4 linked regions of the Caenorhabditis elegans genome follow. The protein of the gene in region 3 purifies or fractionates together with the protein of the main gene of each other region. This does not show direct contact. Each region holds a gene or a part of one and is shown on either strand. Other genes may lie near its edges.

What was found.
Region 1: the proteins of clec-80 (region 3) and gda-1 fractionate together in Caenorhabditis elegans (co-fractionation; one large-scale study listed by BioGRID). This does not show direct contact.
Region 2: the proteins of clec-80 (region 3) and gst-24 fractionate together in Caenorhabditis elegans (co-fractionation; one large-scale study listed by BioGRID). This does not show direct contact.
Region 4: the proteins of clec-80 (region 3) and Y37F4.1 fractionate together in Caenorhabditis elegans (co-fractionation; one large-scale study listed by BioGRID). This does not show direct contact.

What each region holds. Positions count from the first base shown.
Region 1 is NC_003281.10:11,023,879-11,029,235, forward strand, and holds gda-1 (CMP/dCMP-type deaminase domain-containing protein), read right to left. Parts: upstream 2,689-5,357; 5' UTR 2,664-2,688; coding exon 2,429-2,663; intron 2,121-2,428; coding exon 2,002-2,120; intron 1,563-2,001; coding exon 1,410-1,562; 3' UTR 1,361-1,409; downstream 1-1,360. Other genes in the region: putative voltage-gated potassium channel subunit kvs-4, read left to right, coding at 204-274, 1,175-1,291; Y48A6B.8 (Wsv161), read right to left, coding at 3,456-3,525, 3,576-3,734, 3,788-3,892, 3,948-4,020, 4,072-4,183, 4,228-4,479, 4,524-4,637, 4,691-4,791 and 1 more.
Region 2 is NC_003280.10:13,609,036-13,614,282, forward strand, and holds gst-24 (glutathione transferase), read right to left. Parts: upstream 2,332-5,247; 5' UTR 2,260-2,331; coding exon 2,121-2,259; intron 1,936-2,120; coding exon 1,445-1,935; 3' UTR 1,408-1,444; downstream 1-1,407. Other genes in the region: gst-20 (glutathione transferase), read right to left, coding at 631-690; gst-15 (glutathione transferase), read right to left, coding at 2,796-3,292, 3,964-4,108.
Region 3 is NC_003282.8:2,822,629-2,829,623, reverse strand, and holds clec-80 (C-type lectin domain-containing protein), read right to left. Parts: upstream 4,261-6,995; 5' UTR 4,249-4,260; coding exon 4,148-4,248; intron 4,099-4,147; coding exon 3,977-4,098; intron 3,308-3,976; coding exon 3,053-3,307; intron 2,995-3,052; coding exon 2,915-2,994; intron 2,184-2,914; coding exon 1,990-2,183; intron 1,942-1,989; coding exon 1,864-1,941; intron 1,807-1,863; coding exon 1,608-1,806; 3' UTR 1,555-1,607; downstream 1-1,554. Other genes in the region: Y54G2A.37 (C-type lectin domain-containing protein), read right to left, coding at 6,126-6,318, 6,379-6,456, 6,526-6,719, 6,763-6,842, 6,918-6,965.
Region 4 is NC_003279.8:10,855,747-10,862,733, reverse strand, and holds Y37F4.1 (BAR domain-containing protein), read right to left. Parts: upstream 4,648-6,987; 5' UTR 4,089-4,647; intron 3,926-4,088; 5' UTR 3,743-3,925; intron 3,223-3,742; 5' UTR 3,187-3,222; coding exon 3,115-3,186; intron 3,054-3,114; coding exon 2,775-3,053; intron 2,488-2,774; coding exon 2,349-2,487; intron 2,302-2,348; coding exon 2,115-2,301; intron 2,074-2,114; coding exon 1,965-2,073; 3' UTR 1,936-1,964; downstream 1-1,935. Other genes in the region: Y37F4.5 (START domain-containing protein), read left to right, coding at 46-348, 422-542, 593-759, 966-1,129, 1,227-1,475; Y37F4.2 (Sec-independent protein translocase protein TatA), read right to left, coding at 5,114-5,214, 6,628-6,699, 6,742-6,799; Y37F4.4 (Signal recognition particle-docking protein FtsY), read left to right, coding at 6,935-6,987.

The sequences.
Region 1 (5,357 bases), on a different chromosome or scaffold from region 3:
TTTTGGGTTACTGTAGCGCCAAAAGTACGCAGTACACCAAACCTCACGACAAAATGCACAGATTTTTTAAATTGCGCAAAAAAAGGCTGGTTAGGGTAAAAATGTCGGTGAGCACAAATTTTGACATGAAAAATCTTTAAAAACTATTTAAGCCTAGTTTTTTATTCAATTTTCACTAAAAAAAAATTTTTTTTTAATTTCAGCTGGAAAACTGGTGGCAACTGGGGCAATCGCGTGTGGAGTCTTGGTTTTAGCATTGCCCATCACAATTATAGTGAGTTTTGTGATTTTTCAGAGTATTTTTTTTATGTATTAGCTTTTCCAACAATGTACTTTAGGCTCAAGTCGCATTCTCACTGAAATCGCGAGAACGTGAGAAAATGGCAAAACGTGTGTTTTTTGATGAATAAATGTGCATTTTTCACTCACACAAGCTTATGCAATAGTGATTTGAGAATAAAATTTTGATAGAAAACAAAAACCAAATTAGCTCCGCTGGTGTGTCATTGAAAATTTTTTTTTTGAAACTCTTGTATCTTTGCAGGTATTTAATTTAAAAAATAGTTTAGAACTAATAAAATGTGCAAAATTTTGTGTAGAACAATTTGTTAGTTGATAACTTTTCAGTAGAATCAATCGTTGTTGAGATATGACGATTTTAGCGAAGTTACAGGTTACTGTAGCTCTGGAAGTACGCAGTGCACCGAATCTTACGACAACATGCACAAAACTTTAAAATTGTGCAAAATATGCTTTTTGGGTAAACACGTGGTGTCAGAGTGTCCCATTTCGGCTTGATCTTCTTAGATCTACAAAAAATGCGGGAAACGAGACGCAGAGTTCTCAACTGATTTCGCATGGTTAAGAACGTGTTGACTTCACATTTTTTTAGGCAAAAAATTCCCGCATTTTTTGTAGATCAAACCGCAATGGGACAGATTGGCGCCACGTTTTAAAACCTGTGCGTTTTGCCGTAAGATTCGGTGTATCGCGTACTCTTAGGGCACAAGTAACCCGTAATGCGTCATATCTCTGAAAAAACAAAACTTTGAGCACTTTTCTTTACTAAAAACGTTTTTTTTTCAATTCTAACCCTGCACATTACAAGATTTTCAACAGAAAATTTGATAGCCAGGAAACAAATTTTCTTCTAATTTTTTTTTTTAATTTTCAGGTCGATAACTTCATGAAAGTGGCTGAAACTGAACGTCCGGCGGGTGGAAATCGATATCGAACATCTCAATACCCAAAAGCTACAAAATCCGAGCAAATGATTTTGAAAGTTACCTAAAAAAAGTTTGAAATTTTGCCAATTTTGCCAATTTTTCCCCAACCGTCCCAATGTATTTGTCTTTTTATATGTTTTTCAAATTTTATTTAACGAAACAATTTTCAAAAAAATACTCCAATTAATATTCTGTCTTGTCCGGTTTGTTGGACCACATTTGGAATGGGAGTAGGTAGTTGTCGGCTGCCAAATGCTCCAATTTTCGGATTTCATCGCTTTTCGGGTCTTTTAGGAAGTCGTGGAATGCTTTGTCGTCGAATCCAATCTCGGCCGCCTGGAAGAACTTGTTTTATTTGGAAAAGGTTTTTTTTTTTGGGTTACTGTGTCACCGAAAATACGCAGTGCACCAAAGCTTACGACAAAATGCACAGTTTTTTTTTAAATTGAACTGAAAAAAGGTGCAGAATTCGATTTTTTTAGTAAAAAATTTTGAAAATTACTTTTTCCAAGGGTTTCCACAAATTAATGAACTTGAGAAAATGCACAAAATTATGGATTTTTACAGGCAATTTCTAGATTAGGTCTATAACTGGTTTGAACAGATTCGGTAAAATTTCAAAAGTTTGTGATTTTGCCGTAAGGTCCGGTGTATTGCGTACTTTTGGTGCTACAGTAACCCAAAGTTTGAAAAATAACCCCGAACGTCACTAAAATTGATAAAAGCTCTTAAAGAGACAGTAATAGTGTAAAAAATTAGTTTTTATGAAAATCACCTGCTGAGCAGTTGCTCCGTAGTAAATTGCGTCGAATCGAGCCCAAAGGCATCCGCCCATGCACATTGGGCATGGATAGCAAGATGTGTACAAAATATGTCCAGATAGGTCAAAAGTTCCTGAAAACGTGAATTTCAATTAAAAACTTATCGAAAAAAAACGTCGAAAAAATTTAGCATTTTTTAACAGAAAAATAGTTAATCGTTGTTTTTTTTCAATTTTCAAAAATAATTTTAAACTATCTAACTTGTAAAATTATGTGAAAAAATTTGCTCTAATTCGAGAAAAAATTCTGCAACTTTTTTTTTGAAAAAAAAAATCCTAAAAATCGCAAAAAAATTTTTTAAGAAATATAGGAAATCGAGGTTGTAAAATTCAAATGTTATGTCAATTTATCACTAGATGCTCTAAATATTCGTGTGCCTACCCAATGCCTTGCAGGCATTCTTAATAGCAGTCATCTCGGCGTGCATTGTCGGATCCTTGGTGACCAGCACCATATTGTGGCCTTTTGCGACCACTTTCCCGTTTGAATCAACTACAACCGCACCGAATGGTCCACCATCTCCACACTCGACACCTCGACAAGCTTCTGCGACAGCTTCGGCCATGTGCTCAGCGTGATGGGGTGGGAGAGGCTTATCAGAGGCGGATGGGCTCATTTTATAGTAGGAGTTGGGGAAGGTTCTGAAAAAAAATTAGTAAGGTCTGACGAAGAAAGGAAATTTTCGAGGTGAGCAGGCGGGTTTTTGTTGAAAAAACTCCCAAAAAAGTAAATAAAAAATTCTAAAAATTCAACAAAATGCAACAAATTTTTCCCCCAAAAAACCCAAAAATTCGCGTCGAAAGTGGCAAAACGTCTTTGAAACAGGTCACGATCATCATCGTCTTATCACAAAGTGATCCCTTATCAGCGACGAGCTTTTCCACCCCCAGCTGCCCGAGCCAACCACGTGAGCTCCGCGAGCACTTTCTTTTTTTTTTTGGTTTTTCTGGTATGATGTCTGTTGTAAGATTATTTAATTGATAAGAAATTAAAAAAGGTTTTGATAAGAAAATTTGTGAGAAATGGAAGAAAATTGAAAATTTATGGGGGCCTAGTATCAGGTGAGAGAGTGGCAGGGGAAAGTGCAAGAGGTGGTAGATCAAATAATTAAAAACTGAAGCTTTTGCGGGGAACTCGGCATTCACCGCCAGCTTCTTGCCCAAGTTTCACCCAAGAAAAATTAACATGGATTAGAAGCTGGCCAAACTTGGGCAAAACTTGGGTAAAACTTGGGCTAAACTTGGGCTAAACTTGGGCAAGACCTTGGTGATTATAGATGCGAATTATGCCGCGCTTTTACTTTATTCTTTAGACGATTTCCTGTGGAAAATATTTATTTAAGGACAAAACATGAACAGGGTTAACAACAAAAATCAATTACAAAAAAAAAACAACGAAAAATTAAGCTTCAGTGGGTGGAGTCTTTGACCGATCGTCCAGCAGCGGAGACATCATGCTCATTGCGTTGACCGGTTGCACTGTAATGAAAATGTATTGGTTTATCGATTAAAAGTATTGAGTTACTTACAATCTGATAACTTCTTCTGGTGACGTTTCCATCCTCTGATGCTGTTCTCTGAACTTTCGAACCTGTCCCCACTTGAGATGATGCTCGCAATAAGATGGTTTATTGCAGTTGAATAGTGCTCCTTTGGCAATATCAAAGTGATATGTTCGAAGATTGTTCCTGAAATCATATCATTTTTTTTTACATTTTACAATTTTTACGAGATTTCTTACATTGCTTTGCCAAGGGCTTCTACTGCGTTCTTGAACACTGTGATTCTTTCGTCCCTACGGCGCTGAACCTCAAGTTCTGCTCCTTCTCCAAGCGTTTTGATGAATCTAGAAGAAATGAAATGAATAATTCAAAATTGTTTAAAGTTGGTTCATGTCTTACTCATGCTCCCTATCAATCGAACCGTATGACAGCTCAACCGGCAAATAAACTCCAACAATATCGAATGCGACTTCTGAAAAAAACATGATTTTGTGATTAGAAATTGTTCACATCTTAAACGCACCAATAATCGCTGTTGTCACTTTTTGTGGTAACTCTTGAAAATGTCTATCAACACGGCGAACACAGCTTGGTCGGTAAGTAAATGCCCAGATTTTATAAGAAGGCTCCAGCATCTGAATTGAATTTATTATTTTTATATATCAAAATGTCAACTTACAGTTTTCAAGGCAACCATATAGAAATTTGAAAGTTGCGAGACGGCATCACCTCCAATCAAGAGTTCAGAGTTATAAATATCTGTGAGATTACACGTAGGAAACCCGTCAGCTTGTGAAATTGTGTGGTTCATCGTAAGTGTTCGTTTCACGATACATCCAGCGTTCAACTGCTTTGAAATTTTCGATGTCAGGGTGTGCACGTTTGCTGCAAGTGCGGTGTAATTCCCATCCTTAGGATCCTGCATTTTAAACTGAAAAAAGTATTAGGATATGAAATTGATTAATTACGGCCTGCCATCATCATCTGTGCAATTTGAATAGACTCTTTCTCGTCTTCTGTAGATTGTCTGAGAGCCTGGACGAACTGTAGGATCGAGAAGTTTGGACGAGTTGTATGTTTACAAAATTCCTTAAAATTAAGATATTAAGATTAAATATTTGGATATTTTGGATATTTTGCACCTCTATCTGGATCTCTGAAAGAGTTCCATTTTCTAATCCCTTCTTCACAACGTTGCCCATTTCCATAACATCTTGATTTCGAACCGCTGATTCCAGTTGCTCTGAAAATTACAATTTGCTTTAAACTCAAGATTTAGTTTCAATGTGACTTACCAATCATAGTTTTCTGGACCGCTCTGTTTTGTAGATGCTGAAAAACATCAAATCCCGCGGAGGTACTTGATCTGTCTGTGCTGTCCCCGGTTGCCTCATTGCTTTGTGAGCAACATGTTCCTTCACGAAGTTTCTGTTTTCGATAGGCTGTGCGCCCAGCCTTTGAATCAATTGTACCAGTTTTTGCGCGATTATTTGTCAGTACAGAATGTACAGAATGCTCTTTAAGGAATGGCGAGCACGAAATTTCACTCTTGACTTTTTTATAAGCGAAGTTGTTTTCAATTTCTTGCTCCTCCACTCCGACTTCCTCTTCAACTTCATCTTCGTTTCCGTTTCCACTCTCCTCATATTCTTCGTCGTCCAATTCTTCATCATCTATTTCGTCTTCAATGTCGTCTTCAATTCCGTACCCGTGCTCAAAAATCACTGGTTTTTTTGGGAATACAACTGGCTTCATAGTCGTTATAGTGTTCTCTCCAGAATAAAAGTTTTCGTAGTCGTCATCGTTCTT
Region 2 (5,247 bases), on a different chromosome or scaffold from region 3:
TGTAAAGAGTACTGTAACTGGAAACAGGCGGTAGTATTTTCATCGATTTTTCACATTGTTTTGCGAAAAAACACTAACATTTTAACAAATCGACTCTTTGAAGGCGCACACCTTTTTTCATTTATCAAAAATTGCCGTGTCGAGACCGAGTACTGTTGCAAACGCGGCCCAAGTGGTGTCATAGTGTCCCATTTCGGTTTGATCTACGCAGATCTACGAGAATCGCGGGAATTTGGACGCATTTTTAATGGTTAAGAACGTGCTAACGTCACATTTTTTTGGGCAAAAAAAATTTATTCCCACATTTATTGTAGATCAAACCGTAATAGGACAGCCTGACACCACGTGGTGGCCTGGAAGCAAAGTGGCCTAGAAAAAGCTAAAATTCGGCCAGCAGTATTCTATGTCATGGTTTTAGCCGAAAAACTTCCTAGGTTGCGGATTTTCAACAAAAAAAAACGTACTCACTTTGGACAAGTGGCCGAGTTTCCTTGATTTCTAGGCCACGTTGAAAATGTCGAAAAATCGTAAAAATAACATTTTCGTGCTGATCGTGCCGTGATTTGCTACGTTACCGAGTTTTAGAAAAAACTCGGCCACCAATTCAATTTTCTAGGCCACCACACTAACCTGTCTAGAAACATCTCCCAATCCTCGTCCGTTAAAATAATAGAACTTGTACTCGGCCATCGTACAAAAGAGCAAGCACAATCACAGACAGTCAACACACAACTGATAGTCGTCTGCCAGTGTCCCCCTGTCCGCCCTTTTATACTTCCCATGCCACGTGTCTCCGTCTCTTTTCTCTTTTCCCGACGGGGGGAAACAACGTGGTTTATGCGATGGCGGCGGGGAGGTCACTGCCATCTTGATATTGATCTCAGAAGATAATTCGATTTATTTGTAATTGGATATGGCGGCGACGATTCATGGTCTTTTGTAGGAAAAATGATGACAAACATGACTTTTTTGTTCGAAAATATGGGATTTCTAGAATGATCTCTGTCGAAAAGTTCAAAAGTTTCATAGGCTTGCAGGCAGGCATAGGCAGTCTTGTAGGTATGCAGATAAACATAGGTTACCTTGCAGGCATTTAGTCAGGCTTGTATGGAAGGCATGCAGCCAGGCATAGGTTTATTTGACGGCAGGATGTTTCTTTTGATCGCAAACTCCCCAGGTGTGACTTACGCCTTCTTTGTGCCTACACCCATGCCTACTGTCTATGTTAGACCCTTTACGTAGGCCACAGACTGCCCGCTTGCCTTCAAGGCAAACTACACCTGCCTCGTGCCTAGATAACTTGCCTTCTAACAGACATACGTTTGATCTACTGCCTACTGTCAAAACCATCTTTTTTAGGTGGTAGGCAGCCTGAAAGCGTGCCTACCTACCTTAGAATCACTCATTATGATATAATAATCTTTATTAACATACACATAATATATCAAACAACAGAATCTGGTCTCGACGAGTTGTGCTCCTTGATCTCCGGTATCTCATTAACCTTCTCACGGAGCGCTGCAAGCTTCTGCTCCTCTCCGTGCTTATCAAACACTCCCAGCATCTCCATAGTTGTCAAAATATCAGCTATCACCAGATCAGCCCAAGTTACACCATCTCCGACTAGGAATCCTGACTTGCTCTTCTCAAGAATTCCATTAAGAATTTTGAAGAATGTATCCCGGGCCGGCGCGAAGACCTCCTTTTGGATTCGCTCGATTTCCTCCGCATTTCCGGATCTTTGAGCCATGATGAGTTGGCGTAGTGGGGTGACGAAGTCTTTGAATTGATCTACGATTGCATCCACCCACGCTTCTTCCTCTGATGTTTTTCCAGCGTAGCCGAATTTTTTGGCAAGGTAGCGGAGAATTGCAGCGGATTGGGGGATTTCGAAGCCATCGACTGAGAGGAATGGGAGCTGACCAAATGGGGTTTCTGGAAGATTCCTGGGTTGGGATTCAGACTTAGGCTTAGGTTTAGGCTTTCGCTTAGGCTTAGGTATAGTCATAGGCCGAGGCATAGGCTTAGGCTTAGAGTGGACCACCGTATCTGATTTTTAAAAAATTCTCAAAATCCGTGACAGTTATACAAATACCACTAAAAATGTTTCAAAAACTCACTTGGCTTCAACGCTCCCCACTCTGGAGTTCCATTCTCAATACGAACATCCTCAAACTCGACGTGAGCCAGCTTGAAGAGCTGCCGAGCCGGCTCAGCCCATCCACGAAGGTTGAAATAGTAGAGCTTGTATTGTGGCATTGTTTGTTGATGGGAGATGATTGAGTAGTACTTTATATACACAAAGTCGTTTCGAAAATCTCCGAAATTGAGGGGAGGGAGAGTGAGAGAAATAGAGAAATAGAAGAGTGGTTTGTGTTTTTGCGAAGAAACACTGGTCACAAAACAAAAAGTCAGAAAATTGGAAAAATTTTTGAAAAATTCAGAAAATGCATCAAAAGCTGTTTTTTTTTCAAAAATTCAAAAGTACTGAAAAATCATATGAAGTGCTTCATTTTTCTTTTATAAAACTGTTTAGCATGATAAAATATACCAAAAAATATTAAATAAAATTTGCTAACTTGTACGGAAGATTATTTTAAAAAGTTCAGAAAATACATCAAAAGCTGTTTTTTTCAAAAATTCAAAAGTACTGAAAAATCATATGGAGCCCTGTTGCACTTCTCGCACTATTATTTCAAAAAAAAGTATTTCGGTAAAAAAATATCCGCATAAAATACTACAATATGTTTATTATCTTTTATCACAGTTTTTAAAAATTCAACGCGATTCAAAATTTAGACTTCTGTATCCATTCTCGTCGCAATATGATCCTCCAAATCTGGGGTTCCATAGATTTTCTCCTTATACTTTTTCAAATTCTGATGTCCTTCATCATCATCATCGATGGCTCGAAGCTTCTCCAGACTGTGCAAATTATCAGCTATAACTAGATCAGCCCATGTGAGCCCATCACCAACTAAATAACCTGACTTGCTCTTTTTGAGAATTCGATTGAGAAGAATAAAGTAGACATCTCGAGCTGGATTGAAAATCTCGTAGCGGATTTTGAGGATTTCTTCTTCTGGTTTCCCGGCCCTTGTGGCAAAAAGGAGTGTTTTAAAAGCAACGGAGAAGTCTTTGAATTGGTCGACAACGGCGTCCGCCCACGCTTCTTCTTCTGGAGTTTTTCCGGCATAACCAAATTTCTTGGCAAGGTATCGACAAATTGCAGCAGATTGGGGGATGTCGAAGCCATCAACGTTGAGTACTGGGAGCTGACCAAATGGGGTTTCTGGAAGTTGAATTAATTATGGCAGGTCTTCTTTGTAGGCACGCTTGCCTACATGCCTACGTCTGCCATCGTGTGTTCATACTCTCAGTTTGTAATCGAACATTTTATACTTAACACAAATATTTGAAATCTGCGCTAAACAAGAAGTCACAATGGAGAGCACGTAGGCAGGCAGGCAAAAAGTAGGCGCGTACGCCTGAAGATCTTATGAAACCCTAAAGCTGGATGTAGTGACTTTCTATTTATACGAAAAAAAAACAGAAATATCTAATCCTTTCTACAAGCTACAAACTACAAACTACAATATACAAACTACAAACTACAATCTGCAGACTACAAACTACAACCTATATTCTACATAATACGAATTACGGACTACAAGTAACAAACTATTTTTTTGACAAAAATTAATTTTTCAAAATACTTTCGTACCAAAAAACCTTTTACAAACTACAAACTAGCACCTACAAACTACAAACTACAAATTAAAAACTACAAACTACAGACTACAAACTACGAACTACAAACTACAAACTACAAAAAGATTTTTCCCCGAAAGCCAAGAAATTTAATGTTTTTTAGTTCAAACTTTTTCAAATTAAGTGTGGCATCAGTAACTACAAACTACAAACTACAAACTACAAGCAACACATTTCACTTTAAGAACTTACTGTCTCTCATTTTCTCCCATTTCCCTTCAGTATCGGCCATTGGAATCCGAATATCATCGTATGGAGTATGCGAGAGATGGAAAAGCTGTCGAGCCGGCTCAGCCCATCCACGTAGATCAAAATATGTTAGCTTGTATTGTGGCATTTTATTTCTGGAAGATTGAAAAAGGTGGATTCGAAAATCGACAAAATTGAGTGGAAAAAGCGAGGTCTCTAACAGTCTAAGTCTATTTATTTGAGGCTTACGTCTCTAAGCAAAAATATAATATGGGAATTGGAAATCGGTGGTCTTTGAGCATTGTGATAAAAAAGAGCACAAAATTTAAAATTTCAAAATAAAAGAAAAATAAGAGAAATAAAAACGATTTTTTGGAAATTTACATTTTTTTGCAGGACACGTTTCGAAAAAAACCCCACTTTGAAAAGAGAAGAAGAGCTTTTTCAAATTTTTTTTGGGTTTAAGTCACAGAAAATAGGTCGTAATAACCAAATATAACTGTCAAAAAATTTTAAAAATTTTCTAAATTTTTAATAATTTTTTTCCATTTGAAAAAAAAAACGTCCGAATTAAATTTGAATTCCCGCGCGAATGAGTGACGTCATTCTATGCATTTTCGCTTTTTCTGGCTAATTTTGGAGGGGTTTCTTGATATGTCTTCTACATTTGATTTAAATCGCCGTTTGTCAATTTTTCAAACATTCAATTTTCTAAAACAAAAAAAATATAAAGAAATATTAAATTTCCGTTTTTTAGACCAATTTCTTCCATGTTACGGAAAAAAGTTTTCAATTTGAAAAACAATTGCCGAATTTGTGTTTTAAATCAAATATAGAAGAAAATTTTAAAAAAAAACGCATAAATTTAGCCAAAAATGACGTCACTCATTTGCGCGAGAATTCAAATATAATTTGGGCATTTCTTTGATTTTTGAAAAATTGAAAAAAAAAATCATTAAAAATTTTTTTAAAAACATATTGTTTGGGCAATTTATTGTAAAAAATCACAAATTTTAAAACTCCTCTAAAATGGTTCATTTTGAATTTAGTTAGAGAACTCAAAATTGATCTACAAACACTAAAAAATTGCCCTTTTTCAATTTCCAGTGGTTCCAAACGTTTTAAGAAAAATCTTTTTTTTTGCCCAAAAAAAAGGACAGTCATTAGATGGCTTTAAAAAAATTGGGCAAAAAAATTTTTGGCTAAATTTGTTGAAAACGGGTAATTCGTGTATGCTGAATTCAGAAAATCTATGTTTAACCCATCAAAAACTATAACGTGGCAAAA
Region 3 (6,995 bases):
TCTGTGGCTTCACCAATTATTTTACTCTCTGTGGCTTCCCACTATATTTTACTCTCTGAGGCTTCACCAATTATTTTACTCTCTGTGGCTTCCCACTATATTTTACTCTCTGTGGCTTCACCAATTATTTTACTCTCTGTGGCTTCCCACTATATTTTACTCTCTGTGGCTTCACCAATTATTTTACTCTCTGTGGCTTCCCACTATAGTTTACTCTCTGTGGCTTCACCAATTATTTTACTCTCTGTGGCTTCCCACTATATTTTACTCTCTGTGGCTTCACCAATTATTTTACTCTCTGTGGCTTCCCACTATATTTTACTCTCTGTGGCTTCCCACTATATTTTACTCTCTGTGGCTTCACCAATTATTTTACTCTCTGTGGCTTCCCACTATATTTTACTCTCTGTGGCTTCACCAATTATTTTACTCTCTGTGGCTTCCCACTATATTTTACTCTCTGTGGCTTCACCAATTATTTTACTCTCTGTGGCTTCCCACTATATTTTACTCTCTGTGGCTTCACCAATTATTTTACTCTCTGTGGCTTTACCAATTATTTTACTCTCTGTGGCTTCACCATTTATTTTACTCTCTGTGGCTTCACCATTTATTTTACTCTCTGTGGCTTCACCAATTATTTTACTCTCTGTGGCTTCACCAATTATTTTACTCTCTGTGGCTTCCCACTATATTTTACTCTCTGTGGCTTCACCAATTATTTTACTCTCTGTGGCTTTACCAATTATTTTACTCTTTGTGGCTTCACCAATTATTTTACTCTCTGTGGCTTCACCAATTATTTTACTCTCTGTGGCTTCCCACTATATTTTACTCTCTGTGGCTTCACCAATTATTTTACTCTCTGGCTTCACCAATTATTTTACTCTCTGGCTTTACCAATTATTTTACTCTTTGTGGCTTCACCAATTATTTTACTCTCTGTGACTTCCCACTATATTTTACTCTCTGTGGCTTCACCGATTATTTTACTCTCTGGCCTTACCAATTATTTTACTCTCTGGCTTCACCAATTATTTTACTCTCTGGCTTCACCAATTATTTTACTCTCTGGCTTCACCAATTATTTTACTTTACTCATTATTTTACAACTTTCGGGTTTTTTGAAATGAATATCGTAGCTACAGAAACGGTTGTACACTCATCTGAAAATACAAAAAATTTGCAATTTTTATTGCTAGGACACTTTTTGTCTGCACAAATATGAGCAACCAAAAATAATTTCAAAATTTTTAATGATTAGTTGCATATTGAAAAAAACAGGAATATTTCAAATTTCAAGTTATTTCTGTGTATTAGAACAAAATTGCAATTGGTATCTAAAATGGCAAGTTTTCTGGTAATGACATATTTTTACGAAGATTTTTTTTTTTTAAACTTCAAATTGATTTTTTTACCAAAAAATGTGGCCTTTTTTATTAATTTGTTTTATCGGGAATATTTCAAATTTCAAGTTATTTCTGTGTATTAGAACACAACTGTGATTGATATCTTTTGATATATTAATATACGCAATTTGGCACATGTTCAATTGGACAGAAGGATCTTTATTTTCTCGGTACACCAAGTAAATTTGGAAAAAATAGTTAAGCTGTAGGTAACAGCTCCAGGAGCTTGCTCACAACAGCATCGGCGTCCGAATCCGACAACGCTGGAGCAGCAATCACATTTGTGTCAATTGAGAGCCCAGGAATTGAAGTGGCTCCACCAACCAGTACTCCGACTACTGTACCAAAGGAGGAGTAGGTGGATTTGATTGTGGTACCACCGTATTCGGCTTCTGGGCTGGAAAATGAGAGCTTATAAGTATTTGGTTGTCAGTCCAATTTCACGAAAACTCACGCAGCTGATATAAATATCATGCATGTTTGATCTGTGACTGGTGGGGTCCAAGAAGCGGCTGCTAGAGATCCGTCGACACTGAATTTCAAACGATTGTTACTTTTAAGGACAATAATCCCCACTAACTCTTTCAGATCTAAATCGATATCATCGTCAGTGCCGTCAATTGGGAACGGAATTCCTCTTAAATCAAAAAAATCATCAGTAGGGTAGTTTTGATGATCATTAAGCCCAGCAGAGTACCCGTAATTGTCAATGTAGCCGGTTAGCATTGTCTTGTCATTCAGTTTGCTAGCGACAAGATGGGCAAAGTTGAAGTACTGAAAAGTTAGTAAATCTCTGATGTATTGTTTTACTTTAGTAACTACATAGTTGAACCCATTAGATTTTTAGCTTGGTGCATCGACCTTTCGACTTTGACAGCTAATATCGCATTTTACTATTAAATGATAGAATAATAACTCATAAATATTTTATCAGTTGATGATACTTTTTCAATAAATTTGGAGGCATCAGACTTTGAGCCTGAGCACACTAGACTTCTAACATTCTGCATCGACCGCTCAACTTCTGTGGCTCATGTTTTGTGTAATTTTAATGCTAGCGAAAAATGTCAAATTCTAAAAATAAAAATAACAACAAATGATCAATAATTTGTTGGGTTGGTAACAATTATTTGATACATTTCACAAGAATCGAGATAAAAAAGGCCCGAAATTGAAAACACTAGATTTCACACCGGTGCCTATCGTTGTTTATTTTTGAGCTATAGCAAAGTTTCTACTATTAGGACATAGCAAAACGAATAGCTATGAATGTTAGTTAAAAGTTATTGAAGAGCCTAGTTACTAGTTTCTACACATGGTGCATCAACCTATCAACTTTGACAGCTCATATCATATCTTATTTTTAAGCTACAAAATATTTTGATCATCAAAATATAGAAAAATCGACAACAAATACTTTTGTTGGTTGATATTTGTTCCCTATTTTAAATACGCTTAAGATATGAACCACCAATGTTTAAATACAACGCTAAAAGATTTCGTACCGCTTTATAAGAATTAATTGCATTTTGATCAATTCCGAGAGACTGTGTGTCATACATAATTAGACATGTTACAGAAGATACTGTAAGTAGGTAATATTTCAAATATTTTCTGACAGTGTTTCCAAGTATTAAACCCACAAGGTTTCGCAGTGGTAGGCACACTAGCTGGGTCATAACTGCAAACGAAATAATTCTTATCAGTACTACCAAATGTGCCCCATTTGGAGTTCGTACTGCTCTGTGCCACATAGTTTTGGCCTAGTTGAGTTCCGAAATTTGACCAGCCGAAGGAACTTTTGTCATCCCATGTCCATGGGCTCCCGGTGGAATTTCTGCTCAAACCAATCCAGAATTGCCCACCGTTGCTGGAGTTGAACACGGAATGGGCGAGGACTGGAAATTTTGGAGTTTAACGTTTTTTTTTTGAATTTTAAGGAAACTTGTTCGAAAATTTTGAATATTTTTTTTTCGCGTAGCTTTCCAACTAAAAAAACCAAAAAATAGAGGCATTTTTGGTTTTTTTTTTAAATTGTTTTTTTAATGTTGAAGCGATTCGAAAAAACCAATAAACTTTTTCATGCTTAAACAAGGTAAATTTCAAATTTGTCTGAATTCTGGCGCAAGATTCAAAATTTTTCATAGAATTTTGTGAACACTTGACGCGAATTTGGAAAGTTTTTAAAACTTTTTAGAATTGTAAAATTTCGAAAACTTCTGGAAAATAAAAACTGTGGTACAAAGAAGGGCTTCTATGATCCCACGCCGCATGTTGTCGAATGTATAGTGCGGCGCGGAACCCCGAACATGTCGGCCGCTCCAAATAACTACCTTTCGTACATCATTGCACCCGCATTTCACGTCCTACTCAGCTGGGAGTCCTAGTTCAAAGTTTAAAGTTTAAAAAAATTGAAATTAAATTTTGGCGTGAAATTCAAAATTACAAAATTTGTACACAAAACTAATTTTTTTTTTTGTTGAAGTCGTGCATCGGGCCAAAATGAAGACACATAGGCAATAGGCAGGTAGGTAGGCAGGCAGGCCCCTAAACCCTCTCTACCCTACCTGACAAAACATTAGCCGTCGACTTATCCAATACCGTAGCCAGAGTGTACCCCGGGTCCGCCTGGTGGCAAAAGCCACGAGCATCCGAGTAGGTGAGCTGTTGAGTCACCAGTTTGTAGCATCTGATTATTGATTTTTTTTTTCTGTTGAAAATTTTGAAATTTAGATTACCTTCCGTTAATTAAATTGTCCGAATCATCACTGCACTTTTGTGCCTGACAATGAGAAATAGCGAAAAATGAGGAAAAGGTAAGTAAAATGAGATTTTTCATGACAAAATAAAACTGAAAAATTTTTCAGAAAAAGTAATAATATTGGGTGATAAGTAACAGGAAGCATTGATAAGAAAATTTGAAATTTGGAAAATATGGGTGTTGGCCGTAGACTTTAAGTGCTCGACGATGTCAGTGTCTCGGAAGTCCAATAAGTAGATGCCTCTGTAGTACGCGGTGCATCTGTAGACGACGCCAAGTTAGTGGTTGGCATCAGTGGATAGTAGGAGCACACGAATTTCAGTTCTGTTTCACTGTTGTAGGCGGTCCATTTGGCATTCGTCACACTTTCGGCCACGTAGTCTTGAGAATTTTGATAATTGAAATTGGTCCAGCCTAGGGGAGTTCCGTCATCCCATTTGTATGTGGAACTTGAGCGGCTTAGACCAATCCAGAAGCTTCCCTCGTTTGAGCCAAATGCGGTGACGGCGTACGCTGAAAATTGGATTTGTAGTCTACCTATGGCCTTACCTACGAGCCTACCTACCGGTTTACTTGATGCCTATCTCATGCCTACATTCTGCCTACCTACTTTATATCTGCATACCTACGTACCTACTTCATGACTCAGGTCTACCTATGCGTCAGCTCTACACCAATTTCACATACCTACTTTATGCCTACCTACCATATGCTTGTCTGTCTTTGTACCTACTTTATGCCTACATCATGCCTGCTCATGTATATTATGCCTACCTTATGTATGCAAACCTACGTGCCTATTAGTGTACTTTCGTGACAACATCAGGATACCTCCTAACCAACAGCACTTGACTACATCACGCCTATTTATCTCAGGCCTGCATCCCCCCTATGTACCTATTTTGTGCCTAGATCATGCCTGGATACTTTATGCCTACCTCATGTAAGCAAAACTACGTGTCTATTTTTAGCCTAATGGTGTATTTTCAAACCTACATCATGCCTAAATACCTACAAACCCACCGCACCCGATTACATCACATCTACCTACCTCATGCCTGCATACCTTTGTACCCACCTCACGCGCCTACCTTGACACCTACTTCATGCCTACCTATAACCACTCATTAACTCTCAAAAACCTTACATGCCAAAAAGCTCGCCGTTATTTGATCCGAAACAGTTGCCAAATATGATACCACGGAATTCTGGTAACGACACCAGGACCGGGCGTCCTGGTAGGAAAGTTGTTGGTTGACAAGTTTATAGCATCTGAAAATACACGAAACATACGGTGTGCCATCCAAGTAGGCACGGCCTGCCTGCCTACCTACGCGCCTACTCACAATTTTTGTGCCTACTACTCTCAAAGTACACTTGAAAAAACACAATAGTTATCAGATTTTCAACTTTTTGGAATTAAAAAAAATATTTTCGTATCTCGAGCTTGAAACATTTATTTTAAGTTAATTTTTGCATTGCATATATTTAAACAATTTATTTCTCAATTATAGAACTTAACAGCTTATTTTACAATTTTCCGTTAAAATACTAACCTCCCGTTGATCAGTCTATCTGAACTATCCCAACACTGTTGGGCAGCAGCTAAAGAAGTAAAAAATAGTAAAATTAGTAGAAATTGTTTCATTTTCAAAATTGCTGGAAGGGATGGTAATATTACGAGAAAAGAAAAAAAGAAAGAGGAATTGATAAGAAGCTCGAAAAAGCGGGTTAAAAACCACGATAGAGTTTAGTTAGGGCAGTCAGAGGAAAATTCCTCATCGCACTAGCTACGTGCAAATTGAGAGCCAAACAGTACTTTGAAATGTAATGGAACTTATGGTTTTGTAAAAATCAACTGATGGCCGAACTATGCTCTTTTAGCGGCCACGTATCAAAGGTTGGACTGAATAGTATAAACAATTTTATTCCAAAATAGTTTTACAGGCTTAAACTCAAAGCAAAAGCTCCAGGAGCTTGCTCACAACAGCATCGGCGTCCGAATCCGACAACGCTGGAGCAGCAATCACATTTGTGTCAATTGAGAGCCCAGGAATTGAAGTGGCTCCACCAACCAGTACTCCGACTACTGTACCAAAGGAGGTGTAGGTGGATTTGATTGTGGTACCACCGTATTCGGCTTCTGGGCTGGAAAATGGAAGTTTCAGCAAAAAATCAGTTTTTCAGTGCAATTTCACAAAAACTCACGCAGCTGATATAAATATCATGCATGTTTGATCTGCGACTGGTGGAGTCCAAGAAGCAGTTGCTAGAGATCCGTCAACGCTTAAATTTTTAGAACAATGAACCCGGAAAATGTCGGGCGCACTTCAAAACTGCAACTTTAAAACTAACTCTTTCAAATCTAGATCGATATTATCGTCAGTGCCGTCAATTGGGAATGGTATGTTATTCAAATTATTATAATGATCAGTCGGATAATTCTCATGATCATTGAGGCCAGTAGAGTATCCGAAATTATCAATGTACCCGGTTAACATTGTCTTGTCATTCAGTTTGCTTGCTATGAAAATCGCAAAGTTGAAGTACTGAAAAATATGGTTTGAATGGAAATATGAAGGAATTTAGTACCGTTTTATAAGTAGAAATCGCAGAGGTGCTAATTCCAGAAGATTGGGTGTCATACATGAACAAGCAAGTCACACTGGGTTCTGGAATTGTATTGATAGACAATCAACTTAAATTTGTGCCTTTTCAACTTTTCAAGAAAAGTATCTGAAACTCACTTGATTTCGTTGTAGTCGAAGTTTCAATTGTTGATGTAGTAACATGATCTGAAATTTACCATTCAGATGGTTTTTCAG
Region 4 (6,987 bases), on a different chromosome or scaffold from region 3:
TGAGTGTGAGATCTCCTAATCAAAAAAAATACTAATAAATTTCAGAACTAAATCGTCAGCATTTCACCAACAATCTCATCGACAAAAAAGAGCATGAGGGCAAGGATTATGGAGCAGAGATACGAAATGTTGCCAAGGCAATTCAGCAGGCATATGCCATACAAATTGGTAAATCTATTGCTGAACAGGAGAAAGGAACTGACGAATATTGCCATTCTGCAATCATTGAAGCACCGAATTCCAGAAAATGGTGTATTATGAATACTAATACGCAGACGAGGAAAATATTTGATTGGATGGTTCGATTGAAGTGTCGGGTTGTTATTGAGTTGACCAATTTACGCGGTGGTAAGTCCTGTTTTGGCTTATAAGCTTAGACTTAGACTTAGGCTTATAAATAATTGAATTGAATTGTTTTCAGAAGAAGGTTGCCCTGAACTATCGCTAGAAGTGAAGGAACGTGGACAATTGATTTACACGTCAAAACAATTGAAATCGAAAATTCCCGGTTTATCAGTGTATAAAGTTCGAAGGATTGAAGAGTGTGTACATTTTTCCAACAATATTCACAAATTCCTAATTCAAATTTTAGTAATCATAGTTTCCTCTACTGGAAGTGTGAGAATATGCCACATGGATTTGTTTCATTTAATTTAGTTCCGTTTGCGAAGATGTATGAATCAACGTCCAGTGATAACGAGTATGCTAATGTAGGAATTGTTGCGGGAAATGTTGATACAAGAGCGACTATTTTACCATGTTAGTTTTATTTAACGGCTCCGGAAAAATGAGATGCAAGGTTGAAAACACTTGAAATATTAGAAAAATGATTTATTAGCCAATTGCTCTTTATATAATTTTTCTCGTCTTTACTGATTTCTCATTTATTGAATTTTCCGGGTGAGAGGTAGGGAAGCCGGGAACTTTTTTTCCTTTTAGTACCTATCTATGAAATGATTTTTCAGTGATTGACACATTGATGCACATCATGGGAAGCTCCCTGAATTTGGACTCGATGCTTCCGATCGCTGGATCTTGGATGGGAACTCAGAAAACAAGATCAATTGATTTGGTAGCGACTGCACAGATTGAGTTTGCACTCTATGTTTGCTTGAAGTTGGTTGCAGATGTAAGTTCAACATTTTTTTGAAATGAGTCCTATTACTGGAGTTTTACTATCAAGTCTATTGCGGTTCCTAGTTCTGGATTTCATTTATAATTTCCAGGAAAACACGTTCACAATGATCCCGATCGCTGCGTTGGAAACTGCATGGATGAAATCTTGGATTGAGAATCACGACATTTTCCAGAAATTCTATACATCTACGCGATTGACTTGTCCAGATGACAGAAGAGAACACTGGTACAAAGCGGGACTACAAAAATTGGCTGAAATTCGAGAAACTCTGCAGGAACCAGTCGCTTGCAAGTCAAACAAATTGGATAAGAAGAAAGATGGAAAAAAGGAGAAATAATGTCGAGAAGGTTGAAGCACTGAAGTAGACTATAGCACTTGAGAGAATAAAATGTGATTCATTTCTGTTCTGTTTTCAGCGTAAATTTATTGTTAAAGCTAGGGGTGTTGTGTGGGACGTGATGAGCCACCCCATAGCAACCTTAGCTATTCAAAAAACGTTTCCAAAATGCCATTCGAAAAAAGTGAAATAGCGGGCGAATGTTGAGGCGATGGAGAGGGATAGAATCCGGGTTGCGCGGCAATTGCGTTATTATGGGAGAGATCACATAGTTTCTACATCTTTTCACTAAAATTTAATGAAAAATATTGGGAAAACACATCTCTGCCTGAAATTGTAGAATTACCCGTCGGCAATCGCCGCGCACCTTTTGGTGGAATCAGGGGTGCCTTGTGGCTGATGTGGCTGTAAACTGATGACTAAAATCAAATATAACACATTTGAAGTTGCAAGCAATAAAAATCACATAATTCTTTATTCGGACAAGTTTCATTTGGATTTCAATGGCTTTTCTTTACTCTTTGGCAGTGCTCTATCATCAAATATTGGGATAGCTTCAGCAATGGATTTGTGGAAGAGAATTGAATCGTCACGAAACCTTAAAATTTTTTTTTTTCGGGGAGTAGTTCCAAAACTTACTTCAAAACTGCATCCGCGTGTTTCCCCTTCTGCTCATTAATCGACTTATTGATAAAGTCAATAACCTTCTGTCTGCACTCATTCCTCCATGTCTGAGCATTTCCCGCCGCGAGTTCGGCTTGCTCCGTTCGCTCCTTATTCTGCTGACTGATTGCGTCGTCGTAGGTTTCCAGCGAGAGCCAATAAACTGAAATTTTTTATTTAGATTCATATTATAGACCCTTTTATTCTTACTCTTTCGAAGCCTTGCGTACTCCCAATAGTCGACGCCAATGAATTTTGTCAACGCCGACAAGTTTTCCAGATGCCTTTGGACTTGCTTTGCTTGTATGGAATCCAGATTGAGCAAGGTTTGGATAGCCGGTTCTAAGCTCTGAAATTTGTGTCCTTATTATCAGGTGCCATTCCATAAGCCAAAAAATTGGGGAGCCTAAGCCTGATTACCTGGGCTTAAATGGTTTATTTGAAAAGCCTAAGCCTACATTTTAACATTTAAAAGCCCTTAGCCTAAATTGTTAAGCCTAAAAATCCAAGCCTAGAAAATATACCAAATTTCTTAGGTGCAAAAAAGTCGTTCCAACTTCCTCGATTTTCAACAGGATTCGCTCTAGAAACTGAATGTCGCGTCACTTTTCTGATCAATTCTGCAACTAAACTCACATCCATTTCTTTGGGGTCAACCTTCGTACCCAACTTTCTTCCTTTCTGATTTATCGCCTGATACGTCTTTAGATACTGCCCAGCGTACTGATAATTCGTATCAGCTTTCATAAGTTCCTGATTCTCAACGAACATTTGAATCAGTGCCTGATGAAGTCGATCTGCGGCTTCTTTATAAGCTTCAACTTGATTGCAAAGCTTCTTCACGTCATCAGTCATCGAAAACAAGCGATTCTTTTTCTTCAGAATCGACGAAAATACACCGTGATTTGGATGGTCCTGAAAACTCTCTTTTTTTTTCGGTTTCGGATTTCGGTTTCGGAGGCATCCAAAAACTTACAGCTAATCCATAAAATAATTTCTGAGCGATTGGCTTTTCATAGCAGCTACTCGTACTCTTCTTGTTTGCCATTAAAAATATAAAATAACTGAGATTGAGATTTCATGTCTGATAAACAAGTATGTTTGTCATCATAAAATGTGTCACGTAACAAAGCAATTTAAATTAGTAATTTTTTGTTTTATTTTTAACATTTTTTAGAAAATATTTGTGATTGAAATTTTGTGAAAAAATTTGAAATTTTTGCTTACTATTAGCTCCGTGTTTTACCAGTTAAATTGCTCCAAAGGCGGTTTTTGAAATTTTCTGTGGAAACTTTCTATTCAACAAAAAATCTAAACAGTTCTCTGGAAATTGTTCTATAGTTTTATGTATTATATTATTTAAAATTTTTATTATTTTTTTATTATATTATTTTAAAATCCGGGTTTGCAGATTTTATCATTTTTAAGATTAATATAAACCTACTGATTGACAAATTCCAAAATCTTAAATTTGTTTAACTGTACGCTTTTTAACATTTTCATACTTCTTGAACAATTTCAAATCATTTTTCTAGACAAATTTGCATGAGGCTTTCCCTATATATGTATTTTGAAAACTAAAATATAATATAAAGCGTTTATACCTTTTAACTACAGTATCCAAAAACATGATAAATATAGAAATTTGGATAACTTTTTGCTTTATTATGAAGCAATTTCATTCAGAGTCCAAATTTTAATTCTCCCACAATATTCAATCAGTGGCCGCTTACACATTAGCAGTGAAATGTTAGTCAGCAACTACATATCCTGTGGTCTGAGATAATCTGTACATGGAAAAATTAATCTAATTGTATGTAAGTGTCAAATCTTTCCCTCTTTGAATATGATATTTGATCCTTATGATTCAAACCAAAACGTTTCCCTTCTTTTCCTATTCATATGATTCACGCCAACCCCAATATCATTATAATTCGATTAAAAACAGACCTATATAAGTTCCTTCTTTTATATTATATTATATAATACCAATGCTTCCTTTCTAGATGTAGACCGCTATCTTCCCCTTTTCTTCTCTTTAATTGTAATTCAGTATTATATTCTTCTAAATAAATTAATCTCAAGAATTCATTTCTTGATAGTAAGTAAATAAAATAAATAATTCAAGCAGAAACAGACGACTATAGCATGAAGCACCCCCGGAAACCAGCAGAGGATGCAGAAACAAAGGTTGAGCCAAACTGACAGAGAGCATCTTTCCTCTTTCACGTAGACGGCGATTGGCGGAAAAATTAAAATGAGCAGAATGTAACAACACGGGCCGGTTTCTTTCATTTCAGCAAGATAGTGTTGCACAAAATATGAAAAATTAAGTTGTTTGGACAACCTTATATACTGGAGGAGTCTGTTAACGGTCATAAACCGGTGCCACAGCTTATGGTTAAACATCATGCAAAAACACTTTGATTGTGTGCTAAAGCATTTATTGAGTCGTTGCTGTGCCAGACGACGAGAGTCTTACTTTCGTCCGGCGCCAGCAGGCAAGGTCTTTCTCGACTGAGGATGTTATTCTCTAGTCGGCTTATATACTCGTGAGGGCGTGACGCTCCCTGCTCAGAGGCCGCGTGGGCGTTAGAGTCATGCGCTTTATGCACGTCTCCAAAGTCCACTCAGTGCAACATGAGAAGTGATCATAGAACACTTCCACAAGTCTATAAACTTTCAGCATCCGTGAAGATAAACTTTTCTTGATTTCAGATATTTTTGTTTAATAATTTGAACTGTAGATTTAAGAAAAAGTAAAATAAGTGCAAGATTGCTTTCTAAAGGGATCTCGAACTTAACACAATTTGGACTTCTTGCTGAAGTTATGAATTGATGGGTTTACCCTGCAACTGAGCCAACGCAACATTTTCAGTGCAAAAAACACATTTTTGGTTTTTTTTATTTCAAAAAAATATTTATAACTATCAACAATGTGACTAAAATAAACTTATAAATTATTTTTTCAGCAACTAGTAGTCTGATTCAGAACTATCGTCTTTTTCATCCGAAACTTCGTCCGGTTCCGTTGGATTGCCCATTAGCTCAGCTATTTTTCGAATTTGCTCTATTTCTGGAAAAACTTTATTGAATTATTGGGACTAAACTTTTAAAATTAAAAATCAAAAATCAAAAAACTTTTTTTAAATCGATTTTTCTACATACCATTTCTTGAATTGAGTATCCTTTTTCCTACATAGCAAAGCTTTTTAAAAGTTCAAATTTGTTTGTAAACCTTCAATTAAAAAAAAAATTTTTAAGACTAGCGCACAAAGTGCGCTATCCCTTCGGGAGTGGGGATAGGGTTATTTCGCTCTAAAGTATCAACAAGGTAGCTGGCGCAGGTTCTCGGCTTTGCCTCAAACCTGTGTTGGGGTTAAGTGTGTTCACCTTGAAATTCAAAATATATTCCAAAGATTTGTTTCTAATTTAATATTTTGAAAAATCATTTAGCGGCTCCGGCGCTTTAGTTTTCAGTTCCTCTAAGATTAAAGAAATATTCTAAGGAGTTGTTTCACATTGAAATATTCTTAAAAATTATTTGGGCGCTAAGTTGAATCTTCTCTAAGATTAGAAAAATATTCTAAGGAGTTGTTCTAAATTCAAAAATTCCTAAGAGTTATCAGCGCCTTCGGCGCTGAATTTTTCAAAGTTTCTGAAATAAAGAAACATACTAAGGAGTTGTTTCTAATTTAAAACTTTGAAGACTTATTCAGCGCCTTCGTCGCTGATTTGAACTATTTCTAAGATTGATGGAATATGCTAAGGAGTTGTTTCTAATTTAAAAATTTTGAATAATTATTTAGCGCCCTGGGCGCTGAATTTTCAGTTTCTCTAAGATGAAAGAAATATGCTGAAAAGATTTTTCAATTTTAAAAAGAAAATGTAAAAACATAAAAGATATTTCGAAAACTTTGATGAGGAGATGAAATGTTAGTTTTTTTTCATAACTTTTTCATTTTTAAAGCTGGAAAAAAATCTTACATATTTGAATTCAGCGTCAAATTCTGAGTCTATTAAAAAAAACAGAATTAAAATTAAACTTAAACAAACCAATTAACAAACGCTCAAAGTTGAAAAATCAAAAATCAAAAAAGGCATTATTTTTCTATTCGGTCGATTATCTCTGTGATGTATGACTCGATTTTCAAAATTTTTTTCGTCTCTCGCTTAAGAAATCTTCAAGGTTTCATATATTTGGCTCAGAATCAGAATAGCTCAAACGACGGCAAAGTTATGAGAGGGAAAAAAAAAGTTTTTGAACAAAAAATTACAGTACACCTACCGTTTACCACCTACAGTACCCTACCGTTTATCACATACAGTACTCCTACAGTATAATATAGGAAGAAGGCAGAAACATCTCAAATCTCAAAAACCCAATACTGAAGCTGCTAAAAATTCATCTGCCCGGAATCTGAATCATCGGTACCAAAAATTCACATTTTATTATACAAAGTATTTAAAAATTTATACAAAAATTCACCATTTTCCGATAATTTCGCTTTGTTTCCAACAACTTCCACTTTTATTTTCAGATTTCCCTCATATTCGACACCTGAAAATTTTTTTTTCTGAATTAAGAAAAAGTAAAACCCACCACCAACTTTGCTCCAGTTCTCGCGAAAAAGTAGACTATGAATACCTATAAAAAGCATTATTTTCTATTTAAAAGTTGAATTTAATGTGATGAATATATAAGCTTATCTGTTTCCATGACAACCATTTCCTGAATAAAAATTCAAGGATTAAAAAGGAAAATTTAACCGATTTTTACTTGCAAAATAATGAAAATGATGCTCCAAAAAGCACATGAAGTACTAGAAGCACTCGTTCTACTAGGACA